Drosophila melanogaster: one gene and its partners. The protein of the gene in region 2 interacts with the protein of the main gene of each other region in a pairwise test. Each region holds a gene or a part of one and is shown on either strand. Other genes may lie near its edges. The genes, in order: Mes2, Scp2, RFeSP and CG15071.

Region 1 (8,178 bases), on a different chromosome or scaffold from region 2:
TAACATTTAAAGCTTAATTAATCTATGTTTCTTATTTTGCTATTTCTTGGTTTACGTCTTTGTGTTGTCTTTTCGTTGAGTTTGGTTCATTTTTGTTAATAGGAGCGAAAAAATTAGAGAATGTTTTAGAAAATCATTCATATTTGATTGATCCTTTTGGTATGGCACAGATTTGGCATTGGCAAGTAAATTTGTATTTCTTTAGGAAAGTAATATATAATGGCAAGAAAATTCAGTTATAAGTGCTCTGAGCAGCAACATCATTCCATTATGTACTTTTTTTTGGCTACTATAATTACACCCGTACACTTAGCGCTCTTCTCCTCCGCTGTCTATTTCGTGGACCCTTCGCACTGCTGCACTTGAACCAGTAAGAGAAGAATGCGATTCATTAAATTGTCCGCGTCCGAGTCCTCCATGCTGTTTAGCTTGGCTGAAATAAAGCCGCAGAACTTGGAGTTCAAAACCTCACGTACAGTTTGTGGGGGCGGCAGATCCAACCCTCCGCTTGCGACGCCCTGTTGCTGCCGGAGATGGCGGTGCTGTTGCAGCATTTGTTCTTCGTAGTCGTCACCATCGATAACCGCATCGCCGTGACCGTTTCCTTCCTCCAAAACATCTTGATCGACGTTACGGCGAAGCTTGCGGGACATGACCACATCGTCCACACCAACATTGGGGCTACCGCGTGAGTTGGAATCCAGAATCAGAGGATAAGGGAAATCTGCATCGATGGCATCCAACTCCTCCACTACGTCGGATGCGTGGGCGATATCTTCGTCCCCGCTGCGTATCGAGCTGTCGTCCATGTCTTCATAGCTGTGATGCTGTGCCCTTTGCTCGTTTCTCGTTGAGCTCACCCGACTGTCGTTGTGAGCCTGGTGAGCGGGCAGAGGAAGTGGCCCGCCGCCGGAGCTACTCCCACTTGTGCTACTTCCGGCCCCACCGCCCACCGAGAGATCCAGCTCCGGCTTCACATAGTAGTCGCAATAGTAGTGATCGTCGCTTACATTGAGCGAGGAGCACTTTGAGAGATTTAACACTGAGGCGGACTCGTTAAAGGAATTGGACAGCTTCAGGGTCATTGCCTTTCCCCCTGCAGCCAAGCTGTTACTGTTGTTGTTGTTGTTGTTGTTATTGTTAATATGGCCATAGGTTGTCAGGCTTAGATCGGTTGCATGCGAAGCGCCCCTATAATAGAAAGAACATATGTTAGAAGACTAAATTATTTCACATTTTAACGGGTTTAAGGTTGGGTTTTACTTTTGCGTCATATTCAATATTCATATTCGCAGCAAGTCTGCGGTATTTTTTTATTTTGTATTGATGTTAAGTTGAATACTAATAAAAATTTGATGAAGGAGGTTGTTTAAAAGGGCATACAAAAAGATTAATAAATTTATTAAATACAATAACATATAACCGTGACTAGTGGTTATGTACATTGTTTTTAATACACTTTAAGAACCGCCTACGTTCTTAAATTAAAAGTAGAAAGAATACTTTTCTTTGTCTCTCACACATCATTTATAGTATAACAGATTTTCTTTCTCTTATCTTAAATTATATTAATTACAATAAATAAAAAAATATTAAATAATGCTGGCAATAATCATTTGCAAAACGTTGGGCAAAAAATTAGAAATAGAATAGTCTGAAAGACAAATCAATAAGTTCGTAAAACTTTGCTAGGTTGTCATCAACTAATTAGCTTTGTTTTATGCCGACGGACATTGCGATCGGATAGTGACCCTGATAAGGAAAGCATGTTCGTATTAATTGTGAGTTCGAAAACACACAAAAATATAATTGTATTAGCCTTATAGAGTTCATATGTTTCCTGTGACTCAACGATTCATATCCCCATTTTGAAATCTTGTCTGTTTAAGGCAATAACACAAGAAATGCATAAACATAAATGTCTTTCAGTGTAGTATCGCTTCCTGTCTCTCTCCTTACGCGTCTCAAGTTTCAAGAGCATTTTCACAGGCAATGCAGCTGCCTGGGCCGGGTGCTCAAAGAACATCTGAACGTGGCTATTTTGGGCCTCCCCCATACCTATAGTTATTTGCCGAATGCAAAGACCTGGCCTAGTGGTAGGCACGGGCATGGGCGACCTAGAAGACAGCCTTATCACCGCAATCGGCTGCAGGTAGTTGACAATTGTAAAATTTGAAAACTGATACTCGCTCGCCAGCCAAGACCAAAAAACTCGCAGGACTAATCGAGTCGAAATACATTTTCACATGTTCCACAATCGGGAATGGCTTTATTTACTTCATTATTTTGACTTGGTTTCTTTTCGGGGTTTGAATCGCTCAGCTTATCATTATTTGCTTCCGCTCTTGCTTAGGTCCCAAGCCGTTTTCCGAGATTGTTTATGGGTTTTTGTGGTTTGAATTCGTTTTCTAAAATCTCTATCACCTGCACTTGGAAACAAATCTATGAATATTAATATAATAATAACATAATTAAATATTCCAATGGTCCGAATGAGATTTTAGATTTTTGCAGACCTAGAACTTTTTATTATGATTTATTAGGCAAGAACTAGCTCCATGCAAAGGCATTTAAAGGTACGAGAATCAAAAGGCAAGCACGGACTACCGCCCACTTTTCTTCTTCCGTGACGCATTGGCTAAAGCATTTCAATGCGAAATACGGCGGACAGTGATTTCAGGGCGTGGGGCGAGATTCGGATTGTGGGGATGACGGACAGCCAAACAATTTCAGCAATTTCGCAGCACATTTGCTTATTAAATCATAAGCGTGACACAGACAGAGCCCAGCAGAACTTTCACACCCAAGTGGCCTCGTGTGTGTGAGGGTGAGGGTACGAGAGCCCCCCATTAAGAGAGGACTGAACGACGAAAGCATGTGGGCCAGGGCAGCCTGAAAGAGGCGTCCAGACCCCGACTCTGGGTCTCAGCAACCCCTTGGCCGGGACGCGGCCGATGCGGCTGGCTAATGGTCGTGGGCATATTTTTAACCCTGGCCGAAGTCAGACCAAGCTATTCGTTCAATTACTCAGCTCACCCATACAGCGATCTTTACGAGTGTTCGGTGCTCATGTCATACACACACAGGCAGAACCTCGCTCATTTTCCCTTACCAGCCCCTTTCTCGCTCACGAGCTACCAGTCTTTCCCAACTTGGTCCACTCGCAATCCGTATTCTTCGGTGCTGATTGTCATTTTCGTAGTGCTCTCATTAATTTATCGCTCTCTCGGCGCCTTCCCATAGTCCCCACCCCTCTCGCAAGCACTATTCGATGGACTTGGTCTTGCGTTTGCAGCTTCCCTCAATTTCGTTTTTGGTTCAAGCAGCGACGATGCTGCGACGTTGTATAATATTCGCCGCTTGGCGAGATCTGTGTTATGGCTATGGCTGTGGCTATAGCTGCGGCTATAGCTCCGGCTCAAGCGCTGCCCGACTGGCCGGGCCCGTTGAGCTGTCTGTTATCAGCTCACAATAATAAAAATTTAAATATATACACACACCATGGGTGAGTGTGCGCGGGCATGTGTCGGGGCCGTCGACTGCTTGTTGCCCATGTGGGTACAGTCAATTGAAAGGAAATGGCCTTATTTCATATAAATATGTACATAAAGTACACACACTCACACACACACACACACCCGCAGCTCGAGCACGGCTCCATATGAGCCAGAACATTGGACGGGGCAGACTCTCGACTGAGACCATTTGCGGGTCTCTGGCCCGGTCATTCCTTTGTTCGGATTGGTTTTTTCCACATTACCGCTCCTTAGTGTCCATATGCCCCCTTGCCTTGTTTTTGCTATTCTTTTTCGCTGGGCAGATGTTTTCTCAGACACGGTGCTGAGATTTGCTCGAATTGTTGGGCGTTTATGCAAATCGACTGGGCTAAGGGATGAGTTTTGTACGAAGGCTCGAATGGAAGTGGAATTTCGTAGTTACGGTTCGAATAACTTTATGCTAAACTTATCACATGTTTTTTATGTGACAATTGTATGTATTGTCTATTCGATCTGAACATATTTCCGAATTCTCAATTTATTTAAATTGTCAGATCTTTACGAAGTCCGTGATTCTATGATTTTTGAAATAAATTTATTGACATATTTTGTCCAACATTAGATCTAAGCCATGACTCACAAACTCATACACTTCTCAGTGTACATAAGCTGAAGTGGCTACTCGCATAAAATGATAAGATTCTTGGAATTTCCTGCAATAATTATTTTTGATTGAGCCAAGCTAAACAACATTGTTCGCTTGACTGACTACTGACAAGCACACATATTTTTAGGGGGGCAGATTCGGAAAAACCTCTTTCAGACACAGGACTGGAAAGCATACAATACCTTCGACCAATGTAAATGATCGTTGGAAAGGTGAGTCACATTATTATTGTGTATAAGTTAGCTAGTCTTCAAACTGATGCATGTATTTGTTTCGCATGAATCAATCCGTGTATGACCAAAACAGAAGACCAATCTAAACCGAAAACTGTTATTCACGACTCAAGCCAAACTTTGACCGTTGTTCGATGGTTGTATGGTTAGTGACGGCTTATCAAACTCATTGTAATATAAGTAGCCAAATGTACTCCTGACACAAATAATGTTCAGAGTGTAAGACGATATTATTGAAGAACTGTAGTCGTAAGGGAGCATTACTTTTGAGAAATAACGGTTCCACTTTTAGATTTGTTTTGGTATCGATCTCCAAAAAGCAGAGGATAAGAATAAGTACGTTAATTAAGATCATTTTGGGAAAGGTAAATATTGCCTAGAAAGATTAAAAGAAAACTTGGAAATAAGTGCAATACGTTCTGTAATAATTATTCGTTGATATAGAATTTCATGTACTTTACTATTCGATTATAAGAATGACTCGTATTTCTGTCAAATTTTAAATTTAAGCGCTCTTCTCTCGTGTTCTATTATTGCTTTTGCTTTTGTAAAGCCATTTGGATGAAGATCATTTTTAGTGACATGATTTGTGGTGTGGCAATAATGGGTCAAGCAGAGAATGCAAAATTCATAACGGGCTCTATATTACTGGTCAACCCCAGGAGTCGATATTGGCATGAAACTTCCTTGACGGTTTTAAATTTAAGAGAATCACCTGGTCACCAGTTCACTAAAATACTATTCCTTATACTTACTTTCGTTCTCTGATGACATCGCGCAGGAAATCCATGGCCTCATAGAGACTCCACTTGGGCTTGAAGCCATTGCCCATTAGCTTGACGTGGGCGAGTTCACGGCGGTAGGATTCCCTCAAGGACTTGAAGGCCCGTGCAACGCGACGCCCGGGAGCGTTGAACTCGCGGCCTATGTGCTCCCAGGCTCGGTTCTTTTCTTCTTCGGCGCCCTTGAAATTCGGGAGACGGGAGTCCCAGAGAATTGGATTGTCGTGCACCATTTGGATGAGCTTCAGCTTGTCGGAGGCGTTGCGCCGAACCACTGTTGGGACACAAAAATGAATGCAAATAATATAAGTCCTCGAGTCTCGACAGTCGAATATTTTAAGAAAGCACGGTACAGGCACCTCAAAACTTCTATAAGTCGAACTTTTTTAACCCAAATGTACATACATACGTATGTACGTATATGTATGTACATTGCACATAGGGTGAACCGAACTATTTGAATAGGCAATGAAGAGATAAAATAAATTCTACTGCTTGTTCGACGTATCGACTTTCGACTGCATTTTGCATAAAAATTGTACATATATACATATGTATGTACGTATGTTTGCATGAATGTGGGGAATAAATCTGTGTACGCACATTTCTTTATCTTCTGAGAGGGCATGGCAGTTGCGGCGGCCAGGGGGTGGGGCTCCAACTTGGGCTTCATGTCAAGAGCGATTGCCGCGGCGGCAGCACTCATGTCCTGCAGCGAGTGGGTGGCGGTGGGCAAACAGCCGCTCACGGGCGCCATCAGAATGTTCTGGAGGATTTGAAGGCTTGAACTGGCCAGGGCTCCACAGTACTCTTTAGTTCGGACGCGATCGCGGTCGGCTGATAACGGGGCTGCTACCCTCTCACGACCAAGTTTAAACGGCAACTAAAAACCAAGACCAGAAAATAACAACCACCGCGGCAAGCGGGCTGCGCTCAGCCGTCGTCGACGCCGAGCCGGCAGCGCAGTTGGCAGCAAGCCCGCATTCAGAGCCAAAAAATCACGCGCATTCGACATCGACATGAGAGCCAGCTATAGCTCTTTGCGCTCTCTGTCTCTCTCCGGCCGTGGCTCGCTGCCACCGTTCCCGTTATCTGATCCAGACATATAGGTCTAAAGCGCTCTCCGGGCGCTGCCTAGAGCGCGACTCGCCGGATGGAAACCCCGTTTAATCGCAATCACAAGCCACAGAAAGTAAAAGCAAGCGAAAAGCGGCGTCGCACACACACACACACACAACAGGGAGAACGCGCAGAACGAAACAACAGAAAATGTGTGTAATACAAAAATCCGTTGACGCGTTCGCATTTGGTTTTAGCAGAGGAATTGTCGAGCGTTCGTACGTACTTGCATACATATGTATGTATGTACTACATGAATGTACCATATACACATGTATGTACATACATACATACGTACCAAAATACTTGGATAGCGTTTCTTGGCAGAATACGCTGCACTTCGGCCATATCAGCTTCAATTAATATAGGGGGGTCGATTCCCGTATCGGAACAATTTCGAGGAATTTAAAGAATTCATGACTATGTACATATGTACATACATTTATTGTAAATCTCCAACGCATTAAGGTTTTAGACTAACATAATAATTATAAGTTTACTGGAGTACACACATACATATAATCTTGATCTGTCCGCCTGTCCGTTCGCATGCAAGTTAGTGCGTTCGCAAGCCTATCCAGACGCCATGAAACCGTTTATTGGCCAGGTATCCTGCTCTCAGTTGTGAAAAGGGATTTGATTTTCATTTCATTTTGTTATATAAATGTAAATTTCCATCGAAATGACAAAAAAAATCTCAAAATTCGCTGAGTAACGGGTATCTGATAGTCGAAAGTAATCGACTATTGTTCTCTCTTGTTTTAAATAAATAAGAAGAGAGAACGCACGAGTTCCCCGAATATCAAATACCTTTTACTCAGCTAGTGGAAGTGAGAACGCGAAATTTCATAATTTTTTAGGACCATCGATAGATATTGGACAAGAAGAAATGGGAGGTTTGTGGTCGTTAGAGTGGGCGTGGCATAAAGTTTTTGTAGCAAATCGATAGAATTTTACAATACTAATAAAAATGTGAAAAAAAGATATAACATATTTTTCAAATGTGTGTCCGTGACAGGTTTCTGCGGCTTACGGTCGATAGTGGGTGTGGCATAATCGATAAAAATTTATAATTAAAAAAGATGAAAAAATATCAAAACTTTTTTAAAAGTTTTTTTGCAAAACCATACACATTTGCAAGACTAATAAAACTATGAAAGAATATCAAAACAGTTTTCAAAAGTGTGGGCGTGACAGTTTTGCCCGACTTGTGGGCGTGGAAGCAAACTGGCTCTGTGTCTATGTTTCTAGAATCTGTATGCATAATCTTGACCTTCTAGTTCTTATAGCTCCTGAGATTTCGACGTTCAACGGACGGACAGGCTATTGATCCTGATCAATAATATGAATACTTTCTATCTGTTAAATACTTTTTAACGAATCTAATATACTCTTTTATACTACGAGTAACGAGTATAATTACTGGAAGATAAATAATTTTGTGTAGAATTTACGATATAAGAGCACAAATTTGTTGTTAAATGTAAAGAGGGCTAAATATACTCATCGGACGATCTGATTCCATCAATGGCTGGCTGCTTGACTTAAAGATTTATAATTTTTTTCCAGGGGGCCTGGCCATAGCTTAAGCAATGAATAGTTGAAGAAGGGTGGGTTAGTGTTCTACCACAGTGTGTTTTTGTGGACTCCGCCCGTGGCTGGCTTCGTTCGCTGCAGTTGTAGAGTCGAAGTTCAGTTCATTATCGTATTTCCCCGTTTATAGAATTTACAAATGAACATTTGGATCACACATGTTGGTCTTGCCAAGGAGTGACAGGGAGGCACCGAGAGTGTTAGAGTGAGAATGCGTTTGAGCGAATGCGTGTGTGTGAGTGGCAGCACAGATAAGACCGTCCGAGGTTGTCTATTTTGTCCCCCGA
Region 2 (5,099 bases):
GTTATTCTAATGGAAGAATTATCAATATTGGTTCTATTGCCTTCGGGCATCTGAAGTGCAGGTGAGTGCTGGCTTAAAAGTGGATTAGTTCAATTACAATTTATGAAAAACGGAATAAAATCAACAATATTACCCACATTTTATTTAAAATTATGTCATAGCAAGGTCAAAAGTTAAGAGTCAAAATAAATTAAAAAATAATCTGGCCCAGTATTCATAATGCTGTATATTGCAAAAATTCATAAGCTGCATAAGCCCTCCTTCCATTTTCCCTTAGAACGATTAATCTTGTGCAAAGCTGACTTTGGCAATGTTAATTGAATTCACAAATTTCGCTGTCATAAAGGTTAATTTTGACAATTATTGCAATAGGTTAAATCGCTTGTTTAATTAATAAATTAACGATGGCCTCAAACAATGCGGCAGCCGATGTCAACTTCATTTAGCATTTAATGCACACACATTTGCGCGCAAAAATCAGACTGTCACAGTTCATTAATTTCCCACGTGCGCCTCAATTAACATCAGGTGAAATTGGAGTGGTAGTATGTTGGTTAAAATAAAAAATGAATGCTGAAAAAATAATCCACATCTCAACTGGCTAAAAGTACACAAAAAGTGTAATATTCAATTTGGCGCCCTTTCCATCTCCATTGGCAATTGCAATTCCGTGAGTTTCTTTCCAGAAGGGAATGAAAAGTGCTTTTCAACTGAAATACAATCACGTAGCCAGGGGCATAAGGAAATTAATGTTTTTATACGGGAAAATACAAATCAATATGAGACCACTTGTGAAATTTGTTCGTCGTTTAAGACAAATGAAACCGTTTTCATACAACAGTTTGGAGCCAATAATATTCATCCAAAAATATTCATACTATTTAGTTCTGTTATATTCTGATATATTCTCTCCTAGCATAAATCTTTATATGTTTATAAGTTTATCAATGCAAATAAATATATATAAAAGGTGATATAAATGGTCTGCTTGTTCCAGGTCAATTGGAAACGGGATTAAGTTCGACTGGATAATCTACGAGCCTGCTAGCCAATGCATTGCAATGCAGTGAAATCACATTTCAGTAGCACTTTCGAAATGGCTACGGGAAATGGCCGTGGAAATTTAAAGCCTTTTAATAGCCTGATGTGCGTATTATTTATCCTCGCATTTAATAATTAAATATGCGCGCAAATTGAATTCATCGATGTCATTTGTTTTTCAGTTTTCCGCTGGGTTCCGCTTTGTAGGGCGCCGAGCACATTACGCATACGCCGTGTGGCGCGGAAGTTTGTTTGTCGCTGTGGCACGGTCATTTGTGCCGCCGCCTTCCCATTAATTACCAATACTCATGCGCCAATGCATAAAAGCCACGCGCTGTTTGCCACAAAACTGCGTCGGCTTTTGTGGCACGAGGCAACCACATTAACCAACATCACCGCCGAAGGCTCGTTAATTGGGTTCTGTTTGAGTTTCGCTTTCATTTTTCGGGCCATGCAGCGCAGCAACGAGTTTCTAATAATGGAAATATGGCGGAAATCCCAGACTTTTATCTCCTCTCCGGCAATTAATAGCCATCTGTGAAGTTATAAATTTCAATATGAAGACATCAATGCTTTAATTGCTTTTTTAGTATCGGCGCGCGAGATGCGAAATGGTTTCATTCGATACAGCAATTTATTGGGCAATCAAATTAGAGAACACCCTACCACTCGTTTATCAACACAATTTGATTTGCATAAACTGGTTCTTGTTTTTTGGTTTGGGCTGCAATGTGTTTATTATGCAAAATCTGAATTCCCGACAGGCGAGGGCAGGCAGGAAGCTCATAAATTATTAGAGAATAAAATGTGGGATGGGGTCCGAAAAAAATGCAGATAGCTGACAAATGTTAGGCAGTGCTGAAAAGTATGCTACACTCTGTCAGACATGCGATTGATCGATTTTCTGGACAAATTGTAGTAGTTTTGATTGCATCAGCATGCAAATTGGACAGTGGAATACGTATTTGGCCTGCCATTGGCAGGGAATCTACAACTCGGTTTGCTGATCCCAGCAGCAGCCTAATCCCCCCGATGACCAGATGACCCAATCGCTTTTCCAATTCTCACCCATCTTCATTCTCAATTCGAGTTGGACGATGGCACAGTTTTCAACCGTCGCTAATTACTTTTGCGCTGCCGTAAATTTGCGCAGCCAATTTAAAATAATAGACAATGCAAGTGGCGTCGCCGTTTGCTCTTTATCTGCTGATGCAGCTCCGGGAATTGTCCGTGGTCCGCTGTCCACTGTCCGCCGTATTCCGCGTCCACTATTTGCCTTTTGTTGCATTGTCCGGTTCGCAGTAATTTCGTGTAATTTGCATTAATTTACAGTTTGACAATTTACAGTTTTACAATTTACAATTTGCAGCCACCGAGGAGCTGTGGAGCCAAGGAGCTCACAATGAGCGGCCTAAGGCCACCGACGCATGCCTGGCCAAACAACAGGACCGAAAAAACAGACACAGGCTGGCTGACTGACTGACTGACTGACAGGACGAGGATCCTTAGAGCGGCAGCGTTCGCTTCTCCTTGGCTTGGCCAGAGCAAAACTTTGGCCACGCTTTCAATGAATTCATTATGGCCCTGACCAAGGTGGGGCGAAGTAAGAATATTCTTCCAGTTGTTAAATTGTCGAGAGGTTGGTTGTGTTTTTTGCAAAAGTACCTCCAGCATACCCTACCCCCACCTTTCTTTCACAAACTATCTGCCCACTCAAGGAAAACTGGGGCTCTGGTTCCTGTTGAGCCTCGCAGCTCTTTGAGCCACCCACTTGTGCTCGTTACTTTTGGCTTGTTCTTTTGTCGGTTTTGGAAATGGGCTTTTTCGAAAAATGTTGCGGCATTATTATTCTTGTAGCGGAAACTCTCAGCACAAACACAGGTGCACTAGCACTAGCACTCGCACACACACACACACTCACACACAGAGATAGACGTTAACTTTACCGTTGCTTCTAAACTGACTCTACACTTTCTGATTAAATTTTGGTACCCTCTCGAACTGGACTCGTCTGCTCGGCAGCGCGGTTGGCCGTCTTGTGATGCTCGTTGCCATCGAGTCAGCGGCTTTTATATGCGCTACTCGTCTGCGCCGCCATCTCTGCCAGCGTCGGCAGAACTCGAGCGCTCTGGGTGCTCTATGTCATCGCAGGGGCTTTATCTTATCGCAGTCGCCGTCTCGGTCGACTCTGCCGACGCCTCTGCACTCGTCATGGTGTGAGTGAGTGCTGCACCCGACACGAGCCTGTGTGTGTGTGTGTGTGTGTGTGTGCGTGTGTGAGTAAGTGTATGAGTAGATGTAGTGCATGTAGCGTGCTTTTTGGCCACCACGTGCACTGTTACGAGCCGAACATCGGCATCGCCGTCGTCATCAGCATGCGGCATATTTGCTCGTGGGTTTGTTTTGGGATTTGACACTCGCAGAAAACTCCATGCTGGGCGCTCTGGTAGCCGGAATGCACTTTATATTTTGGTAATTAAATGGCACGTCTTATCGGAGCGGCATTCGCATACAATGTTGGGCTCAGGGGTTACGACGCCTCGGGTGGCCAAAAAGACACTGAGGGATGTGTGCTGGCTTTCTCGTTTAGTTACTACCAAAATTTAGAACTGTTCTAGAGGTTTTCCTAAGCCAACTTTAAACGTTGATCGCCCTTTTATCGCAAAACTTTGTTCCATCGAAGAAGCAAAGTCTAAGCTGCACAAAAACAATGATAAAGCCGAAAAGGAGGCAATCTATTAGTCAACATAAATTACTAATTTACCAATAAACTATAGCACGCTCCCCATAATACAGCAAACGTATACTCGAAGATAAATCAACATAATAATTTCTTCTGGGAAATAATTCAATTAATTACAACTTGGCAAATAAACCCCAAAGGATTTAAAAGAAATTGAGTTTTGCTAACAGCACATTATGATCACGATGATGTAGATGAGACCCAATACAACATAATACTCGTACAGCATCCACCCAAATACATCGACATTGTTTGCAGTGCACCACAACATAACAAATCAAAATGTGCAAATGTTCTGGACAAATTTTTAGCATAGCCTTGACACACACACAATAAACTGAAGCACTCACACAGGCATGCTCTCCCTTAAAAGAAGGCAACACGGACACACACAAACACATAGGCTGGCTGTGGACTCAACTTGGCTAAAGTTAATTTGGCCCAAAGAAGAAGGCAGCCAAAACAGCTGCTGCAAGAGCAGCAGTAGCAGCAATATAAGGCACACTTGGCGGCATAATTTCTGTTGGCGCATTCAATCTTGTCCAAGAGTGGACCACCAACCGACGAAAGTGGCTAGAACCGAAAAAAAAATGAAAGCATTTTGGCCAAGCAATTTCCAGGCTGTCTGCTGGGTTTTTAATTACACAAAGCAGACATATACAGCTCATGTATTTCAGCTGTTAATTGTCAAGTTTCGGCTGAAATGTCGCTACCAATTTATCAAGCGCCTCAGGAGCAGGCTCCCCGTGCCTTTTTGGCCCACATCCTGTGCTTCTCGCCCAGCGGGTGTCCTGCAGCCTCTGCTTGTTCCACTTTCACGCTGTTCCAGCAGCAGCTGATGCTTATTGCAGATGACCGTTTTACCAATGTTTCGTTCCGGCCACCTTGATTTCTTTTTGTAAGTGTGTGTGTGTGTGTGTGGGAGCGACGGTGCGTGTTGGAGTGGGCAAATGTTTAAATTTGTGGCCTTTTTACCTCTTTGCATCTCAAGTGGCCAAAGGCTACGTCCTGTGTGTGTGTGCAGGAAACGGAAGCCGACATTGACACAGTTTGAAATTAACATGAGCCTGGCCAAAGACCCACTAAAATCTTGAATGCCTTCTAGCGTTTGGCCCCATTTCACAACGTTTAGCTGTCCACCTATTTCATGTAGTTTTTTTTTTTTTGTTTTTGGGCTTCCATTCCACGTCTGCTGCATCGCCTCTTCCCTTCATTTTGCTCCGCCGCATAAGTGGGACCACTAAACGTTCCGTTGTGGCTCACACACGAGCGGACGAAGTACACTGAGAAAAGTTGCTCCAAAAACCCAGTCGAG
Region 3 (4,460 bases), on a different chromosome or scaffold from region 2:
CGGTGCAGAATTTGTCCATTTCGGGAGTTTCTTCGCTGGCTGCAGCTGCTGATAATGAAGAAAGTGAGTAAAGGATGGCAGGATCAAAAGCATGAACGTGGTAGTTGACAAGATGTACCTTAATAGTCTTACCATGATAGGTTCTTCTACAGCAATATTTCAGTGCTTTATCTCTAATAAACTCTAAAAACATCTTGCAGGTAGTACCTATTTCGAATCGGAATTGAACCGAAAAAGCCTCAGAAGCGCCTCTACCGAAGTCAAGCTCGTGCCGAATAACTCAAGCTACTCAGTTGACAGACCAAACTACTCAGCTCTGAATGTAAATGAAGAGTCAGTCGATGTGAGCTCAGAAGAGGATGCCACGAATACCCTGAAGGATGAAAAAGTCGTTCTGATCAGGCTGCAACAGGAGTACTATCGATGCGAAAACGCCCGGGCAGCCGAGAAGCACAAGCTTGAGATGGAGAAGCAGAAATACGAGCTGGAGCAGCGAAAGGTGGAGCTGCGCAATATGCGCCTGAAAAACGAACTTCTCGAAGCGGAAATACTCGAAAAACGACGCAAAGTCGCGCAAAGCAAGGCTTCATCCTAAGGAATTGCTAGCTAGGATAAGTTAATTTATTCTTGTCTTCATAATGTCAGTGCTCTTCAGTAATTACTATAGTCCTAGTTAAACAAAAGATTATCGAAAGAAACTCATGTACACTCCTTGATTTTTGAAACCAGAAGCAAACAATTACATCTTCAAAAGATTTAATAATGTCTGTCAAACTTCTAAAGATTCGTCTACATTTTAACAAGTAAGCTGGATTTAGGCTGCTGGATTTAAGCCCTTCACATTTATTCCTCCTCAGTTCGAATGAATTGCTCGTTTATGCTCGGTCGTTCTGTTTGGTTGTATTTATTAATTTACATCGATCCATTCACTATGCAGTTGGGGGCTTAAACGATAACAGCTCCTCTAGCCGACCACGAGAAGACCCTCGTTGGGGAACTCGTGGGTGGGCACCTCCAAGTTGAGGGGCGCGGGTCCCTTGCGGATCCTTCCGGAGGCGTCGTAGTGGGAGCCGTGGCAGGGGCAGTAGTAGCCACCCCAGTCGCCGGCGTTCGCGATGGGCACACAGCCCAGATGCGTGCACACTCCGATGACCACCAGCCACTCGGGCTTGATCACACGTTGCTAAAGAGGAAATGGGTAACAGCATTAGCGAATCGACCCACTCCACGGTACCTACATCATCAGCCTCCGGATCGCGCAGCGTGGATGTGGGCACATTTCGCTCGGTCTCGATTTCCGCGGCCGTGCGGTGGCGGATGAACAGGGGCTTTCCGCGCCACTTGAAAGTAACCGACTTGCCCTCCGGGATGTCGGACAGCTTGATCTCGATCTTGGCCATGGCCAGCACTTCGGCGGAGGCGCTCATCGATCCGATGAAGGTGTTAACCAGGCCCTTGGCCGCATAGGCACCGCCCACGGCTCCGGCGCCGACCATCAAGTAGGAGAAGGCCTTGCGCTCCTCGGCGGTGTCGTTGCGACGACGACTGTCCTTCACGGACTCCCGGCGGTATGCCGAGAAGTCTGGCACCTGCAGGTCGGTGTGTGCCTGGCGATTGGCTGAAAGGAAGGAGGGAATCATTAATTATCCATTGATCGAAGTGCAGAGGTTCTATAGATCCTTGTGCTTGTTTGCAGAGCAGTGTTGCTGATATAATCATAAATTTTTTGTGTGGTGGGCAGTGAAGAGTGTAAACAACATTGTTTTGGGGTTGTCAAGGCTGAAGGTATATTTCTTATAGCCGACACAGGGCATCTTGGGCCAACTTGGCATAACTTGGCGTCCCTTGCAGACAGAGGTGCCAAACTTCGCATGATGATATTCCTGGTCCCAGAGGTAGTAAATCCCACGTTTGGCAGAAATCGATTGAGTATATCCCACAGATCCGATGTAAATTGCAGGTGTGCTTGTGAGCCAGTGATTGTTGTTATTGTACGAGGTTATGTTGAAATTACGTAAGGAAATTTGACAAATCGCCTTAAAGCCGAGTGCAAATCACGTCCTGGTGGCATTTCCAAGCTTTTATTCAACTTTTTCCGCCTATTTCCCGATCCATTCATTATGTAATGGCTGTGTTTTCAGCTGGCAGCTCGATGAATTCGCCTCGCAGAGCCTTACCCATCGAGTTGACGGCCACGCCGCTCGCCTTCAATCCCGTGGAGAGGACCTGGGCTCCGCCTCTGACGTAAGCACGCGACACGGCGTTCATCATTTTGTATGTTTCCCTATCAAATTAAATGATCACGAAAATTTCGACGTTTGTCGTTTTCGTCTGAGAACCAGTGTGACCGCACTCAAGTGGGTGAGAAATACCAGGTAACCTGCAAAAAATACCACAATATACTAGTATATATTAGTGTATAGTGCTGCCAGCTATTTGCATTCTCAGAGTTGCCACTACGATTGCTCACTGTCAGGAGCTGGCCGCTATTACAGCCCAGTAACGGTTTTTTAAATAGGTGAATAGAATTTCAAATAATTTTTGGAACAAATGATATTGTAGCTCGTTAAACCACCCCGCAGTGCATAAAAGCTTTTACTTTAATTTAAATTGATATGCATTTCATGTTGAAATGATAATCCTGCGTCGAATTAAATTGCATTTGTTTCACCTTGCCGTTCAATCCTTCATCCCCTTTCGTTTTCCTTCGAAAGGTGAAAAGGAGGCTCAGTTTCCACCCTTCGACCTTTTCATTCAAGTGAAAACTACCTTTCTTTTCAATTGGAAACTGCAGTGGCATAGATTTAGCCCGGATGAAAAGGGGTTTCCATGGCAAACCGGTTGGTCAACGCACCACCGAGTGGAGAACAAAAGACGAGGTCCAACCACCGGACTTTCACTATCCAGTTTTTCCACTGCACTTTTCCATTTTCCCCCGGGCAGCATCATTATGATGTCATTGATTGGACTTTGCTGGATGTTGCCTATTTTCTTCGGGGTAGTTTCTCTCAGCTTAATTAATAAGCGTAGCTCCTGAATTGGAGATATGCCTCGGCTGATCTCATCCAACGCATAAAATGGCAATAAAAACTGCATAAAAAACAGCCGATGTAGGGGAATTTGTTATGCGCATAAAAGTTTGCCGCCCGAAATTTGGCCAAACTTTAAAACCAAAAAAGCGGCCGTGGCAGCGGGGAAAACTCTCCCGCAGCCGGCTGAAATGTAATTCCTCTGGCGCCAGTCCTGTGATTATCGAAAGTAGTTCTTTTTGATGTCGAAACTTTGCTGCCACCCACTCCCCTCCTCCTTTCACTGGCTAGGTGGCAAGTGAAAGTGGGCCCGAAAGTGCTCCACTCCTCGCTCCGCTGCGATGTGTTCATCTATTTCCCAGCCGGAGGAGGAAAATCTGCGCACATAACGGCGCCTCTATGTACTTGGCCCAAAACACGCACACATACAAAATGGGTTCCTACGGAAAAGTGCGTAAAATTTGGCCAAAAACAAACTTCATAATGTAGTTGGGATATGAACAAGGGGATACTCTACATTTACACAAAATAACAGACGTTTTTTTGTGCGGAAATGAGATTTATTTATTTATTATGCATTTTAATATCTAGGACACAAACAGTAACCACTTGTTATGTTCCAATATTTGACATATCAATTTCTGACAGTGTAGAGGCCTGAAAAGTTGAAACTATGCCGCGTAGGCGACGTGGCAATGGCATCTGCCCTTTCCCTGGATTTTGCGCATCCACCCACCGAATTTTCCAGCCACCACAACGCCTCCAACTTCAAAACTCGACCGCATCCCCACTCAGACTTAACTCTTGTCAAGCTTCGACTGCGTTACACTTTTCAGCAACTTTTACATGGGAAACTGGCGCCAACTACAACAGCAGCAGTAGCAACAACAAAGTTTCAACCCTGCCCCAGGGCAGCCCCCCCTTACCCCCCTTACCACTCCCTGCCACGCTTCTTGCCGCACACTCCACCCCCTTTTCAACCATTTCTGTGCGGCGTGTGCAGCGTTGCGGCTGCGGCAGCAACAACATCAGCACAGCAGTAGCAAGAGCCGAAATACACTCGAAAAAGTATTGTTTAGCTTTATAATTGAGATATTTACATTTCCTAAAGTTTAGCTTAGTTATTATTAACTTTTAAGCTATACCCTATTTGGGAATTATGAATGGTGTGTGTCATATATTGTTTATTTTCAAATACTTTTAGCCGTGTAGGCGACGACATGGCCTGCTTATCGCAACATCAGCCAAGCATAAAGCTGAGCCCACCCAGAGTGGGTCGCCACCCCTTGGAAAAGTTGAAAGTGGAAAATTGTGCGTGGCAGGCAAAAGTTTCTGAGGTTCCCTGGCTGACTGACAGATGCGGAGGCGCCGCCACGCCCACTGCTATCCTGATATCCTGCTATACTGCTATCCAGCCATGCCATACCCCTT
Region 4 (3,492 bases), on a different chromosome or scaffold from region 2:
CAACGGGAAACAAGGAAAAACCAAAGGCTTGGGGGGGGGGGGGGTAGGGCTGAAAAAAAAGTATGGAAAAAACAGAAATGCCATTGCCACGTGCCGTTTGACCTTTCCCCATTGGTCGCCCGGCGAATGCGATGAACCTCAAGCTCGGCGCTCGCAAATGAGACATTTCAAAATAATCGCAACCAGAAATACACCAACAACAAGTATAGCAGTCGTGGCAGAAAATACCAGTGTCGCCTCCGTTTGGGAATCCTTCAGCCGAAGGCGAAAAAAGTCGCATCAAAAGGTCCTATTGATTTAAAAGGCAAGCAGCTCAAGGCAAGGTCTAAAATGTTGTTGATTACGAGTGTCGCCCATTAAATAAGGGCCCTGAAACAATGTCAAGAATTTCAGCAATATTTGTCTGCAAATCGCAATGCATGGCCATCGAGAAAAGCATTTGCTCCGTAATACTTTTTCAAAACTAATGGTATTTGCATTTAAATTGGATTGGATAATACTTTGTAGGTATATCTACTTTTGAAACTATTCCACTTGATTTAAAGATATTTCTTTATTGTTTTGCAAGCCTATTCAAGTTATAGAACAAATACAAATTTTTGGGATATTATCTATGTGAAAAAGTGAAAAAAAAACTAATCCAAAAGTTGCTGTATATTAATCTACATGCTACCTTTCCACAACAGCTTATTTTCAATTTCCATTTTAGCGTACTGCTCCCTCAGTTCTTCGAGTTCCTTTGAGTTCCTAGCAGCCAAGCGATACAATTGGGCATTTAGGCCAACGATTCTTTCCCTTAGAGCATTCACTGTATATTGGCTAAGACGTTCTGGCCGAAAGACATCCTCCTTAACGGTGGCCACAAAATGCCACATATCCTGAAGCTCTCCACGCTTTTCGCTGCTATATAGCTTAAGTTTTTCATGGAGCACAAGTTTCTCCTGTTCGATTTCGTTGATCAGACCTATTAGATCTGCCGTGGAGGAACTGTTGGGTCGTGGATTTCGACCAGTTTCCGGCTCTTGGCAAGACTCGGTCTTTGAATCTGTGCCCTCATCATCTTTGAGTATGAAATTATTGGGATTCAGCTTGACTTGATTGCATTCGAGATATTTTTGCTGCGCCTTCAGGCGCGTCAATTCACACAGAATGGCGGTAGGTGTTAGTTTTGCCGCCCTGATCTTGGGCGGAATTTTAACTTGATTCCGTTTACGAGCGGGTTTTTCCGGCGGTTGAGCCCTTGGAGCCGTTGGCTTTTGTTCATCGTCTTTTGGATTTTCCATTGGGGCTTCGGTAGCATGTGATTGTTGCACAACATCCAAGGAGAGAGTCGTTGCAACTTCTGCAGCGCTCGTTTGGTTGTTCTTATTTACACGCGGTAATCAAACGTGTTGCCAGCACACCCAACCACCCACCCACTCCTTCCACGTGTTTAATCGATATGCAACCTTTCCACCCCCCTCGATTTTTCCGGCTGCTGTGCCAACAATTCTATGCTTCTGCCGGGGGTCAGTAAACTTTATTTGGCTTGGCTGGATTTTACAATTTTCCAAACGGCAGCGGTAACTTTCAGTGGAAATGGAAAATCGATTAGTACAATTACTGTTTCCATGTCATGGCCTACTTAATTGCCCATGGAAATGGGACAAACGGGGTCGTGGCTTGAAGACCACTTTCGTGGCTAACTAATTTCTAATCAGTACTTGTGGGAGACCGGGAAAATCCACCTGCTAGCCAAAAACTCAAGTGACGATCAAATGTTTGGCGAGCTAATCAAGTTTCAATGGACTAACAAAAGTATAAAGTAAAAGTAGGAAATACAACAGTGAGCCTTGCTTTAGTGGAACTAATATATTAAATCACAATCTACAATCAATGAAATCAAAGCTAAGAAGGTTTATATATTATGCAAAAATGTTCGTTATATTTAAGATTCACTGTTAACTAACGAAATTCGTTTATATTTAAATTGCCTTTTTTTTTTATGTACGGCTAAAATTGCTGGAATTACAAAAGTGCTTGGTATGGAAGTTTGACTGTTTGTGCGGATGAAATGTTGATTTATTATTTGTTTTGCTATCGCCTGCAAAGTCAAATCGGGCAGCATTAACTTGGCGCGTGCTGTTTGTCTTCTGTCTCCCTCCCACCCACCAGCCACAACCCACTTGCGCCCACACCACCCACTCCGCTGTGCGACAGAGACAGAGAGCGAACGCACGTGACTGATTTGCGAATTTACTTTTCTTGCGATGACAAAACATCGTGGATGAAAAATCAGCAGAAGAAGCAACTCCACTGATAGCATTTGTGCTTATCATTGGAATGTATGTATGTATGCGTATTTTTTTTTTTTGCTGCAGATAGCATAGTTTTGTTAGTATCAAAAGCATACAAATATGAACGTGGAAATGCAAAGGAAAGGCAAAAGGTCGACCTTAGATTTAGTGCGCATAATTTTTTGGGTTTTGTAAACACACACACACACAGTAGAAATATGATAAAAACCGCAGACACACGAATGGTGAGCTGCAAAAAGCCGCGAAATTGTTAATAAAAAGGTAAATAAAAATTGTTAAACGATTTCAGCCACCCATCTCGCTCGCTCATCATCTCCGTCCCGCTTGCACTCGCTTCTTTTCGGTCTGACGCGTGTTAGATGTTCAAACATGTTTTCGGTCTGCTGGCCAAAAGGCAACGCTCAGACGGCAGCTTAAATATTTGCCCATAGCGAAAGATCAATCAACAAATGTGAGCGAGACGGTGTGAATTGACCAGAAAGAGACGGGTAGAGCATAGGGCTGCACAGAGAGAAATAATATCGACATATAAATAATGAAATGTATAGTAGCATACAGTTTAAACAGTTTAAAAACTCACATTTGCAATGCGGTTTTTCATCTTAACTTGGAATGAAATTTAAAAAATATTTTATTTAAGTTCCCCTGCTTTTCTCTATGTAAAAACAAACACGAGTGGTATATAGAGTGTCTACGCTGCATGGCTGGTGCTTAATTGCATCAATTGGAGCATTAAAACAGTTGCCAAGGCAACTACAGAAAAATTCAATTAAACTAAAACTTGCCAATTGAGTGCAAACACATTCCGCACACAAAGAAAGTAAACTGAAATTCAATTTGAAAAACGGCACATGAAAGCGATCAAGAGAGCGTAGAACTCTAAACAAAGAAAGAAATCAATTAATACTATTTATATTGGCTAAGAAATGATAAAACTGTTTATTTCAGAGTCATTTCCCCCGCAGATTTTCACTAGAGGAAATCATGTAAGCTAGGCTATGATTTGCTTTTACGATACGCTGATCAAAGTACGTATCGCACACTTTCTTATCGATGGGTTCTGCAGTTCCTTCGGTTTAAACAAATAATCATAATTCGAATGTGTGTGTGTGTACCCACAGTTGTGTGTACAAGTGAACTTTTGCCATTTTTCCATTGATAATAGTGAATTATTGGCAAAATGCGCTTAGGAGCG

Evidence for each region.
Region 1: the proteins of Scp2 (region 2) and Mes2 interact in a two-hybrid assay, tested with the Drosophila melanogaster proteins (one large-scale study listed by BioGRID).
Region 3: the proteins of Scp2 (region 2) and RFeSP interact in a two-hybrid assay, tested with the Drosophila melanogaster proteins (one large-scale study listed by BioGRID).
Region 4: the proteins of Scp2 (region 2) and CG15071 interact in a two-hybrid assay, tested with the Drosophila melanogaster proteins (one large-scale study listed by BioGRID).

Annotation. Positions count from the first base shown.
Region 1 is NT_037436.4:22,943,545-22,951,722, reverse strand, and holds the start of Mes2 (Mesoderm-expressed 2), read right to left. Parts: upstream 6,067-8,178; 5' UTR 5,937-6,066; coding exon 5,783-5,936; intron 5,729-5,782; exon of another isoform or gene 5,539-5,728; intron 5,454-5,538; coding exon 5,153-5,453; intron 1,192-5,152; coding exon 333-1,191; 3' UTR 1-332.
Region 2 is NT_033777.3:16,580,577-16,585,675, forward strand, and holds the start of Scp2 (sarcoplasmic calcium-binding protein 2), read right to left. Parts: upstream 3,088-5,099; 5' UTR 2,988-3,087; intron 1-2,987.
Region 3 is NT_033779.5:1,611,806-1,616,265, forward strand, and holds RFeSP (rieske iron-sulfur protein), read right to left. Parts: upstream 2,356-4,460; 5' UTR 2,272-2,355; coding exon 2,178-2,271; intron 1,619-2,177; coding exon 1,239-1,618; intron 1,184-1,238; coding exon 965-1,183; 3' UTR 624-964; downstream 1-623. Other genes in the region: CG14352 (uncharacterized protein), read left to right, coding at 1-63, 201-595.
Region 4 is NT_033778.4:18,694,425-18,697,916, reverse strand, and holds CG15071 (uncharacterized protein), read right to left. Parts: upstream 1,333-3,492; 5' UTR 1,284-1,332; coding exon 663-1,283; 3' UTR 572-662; downstream 1-571.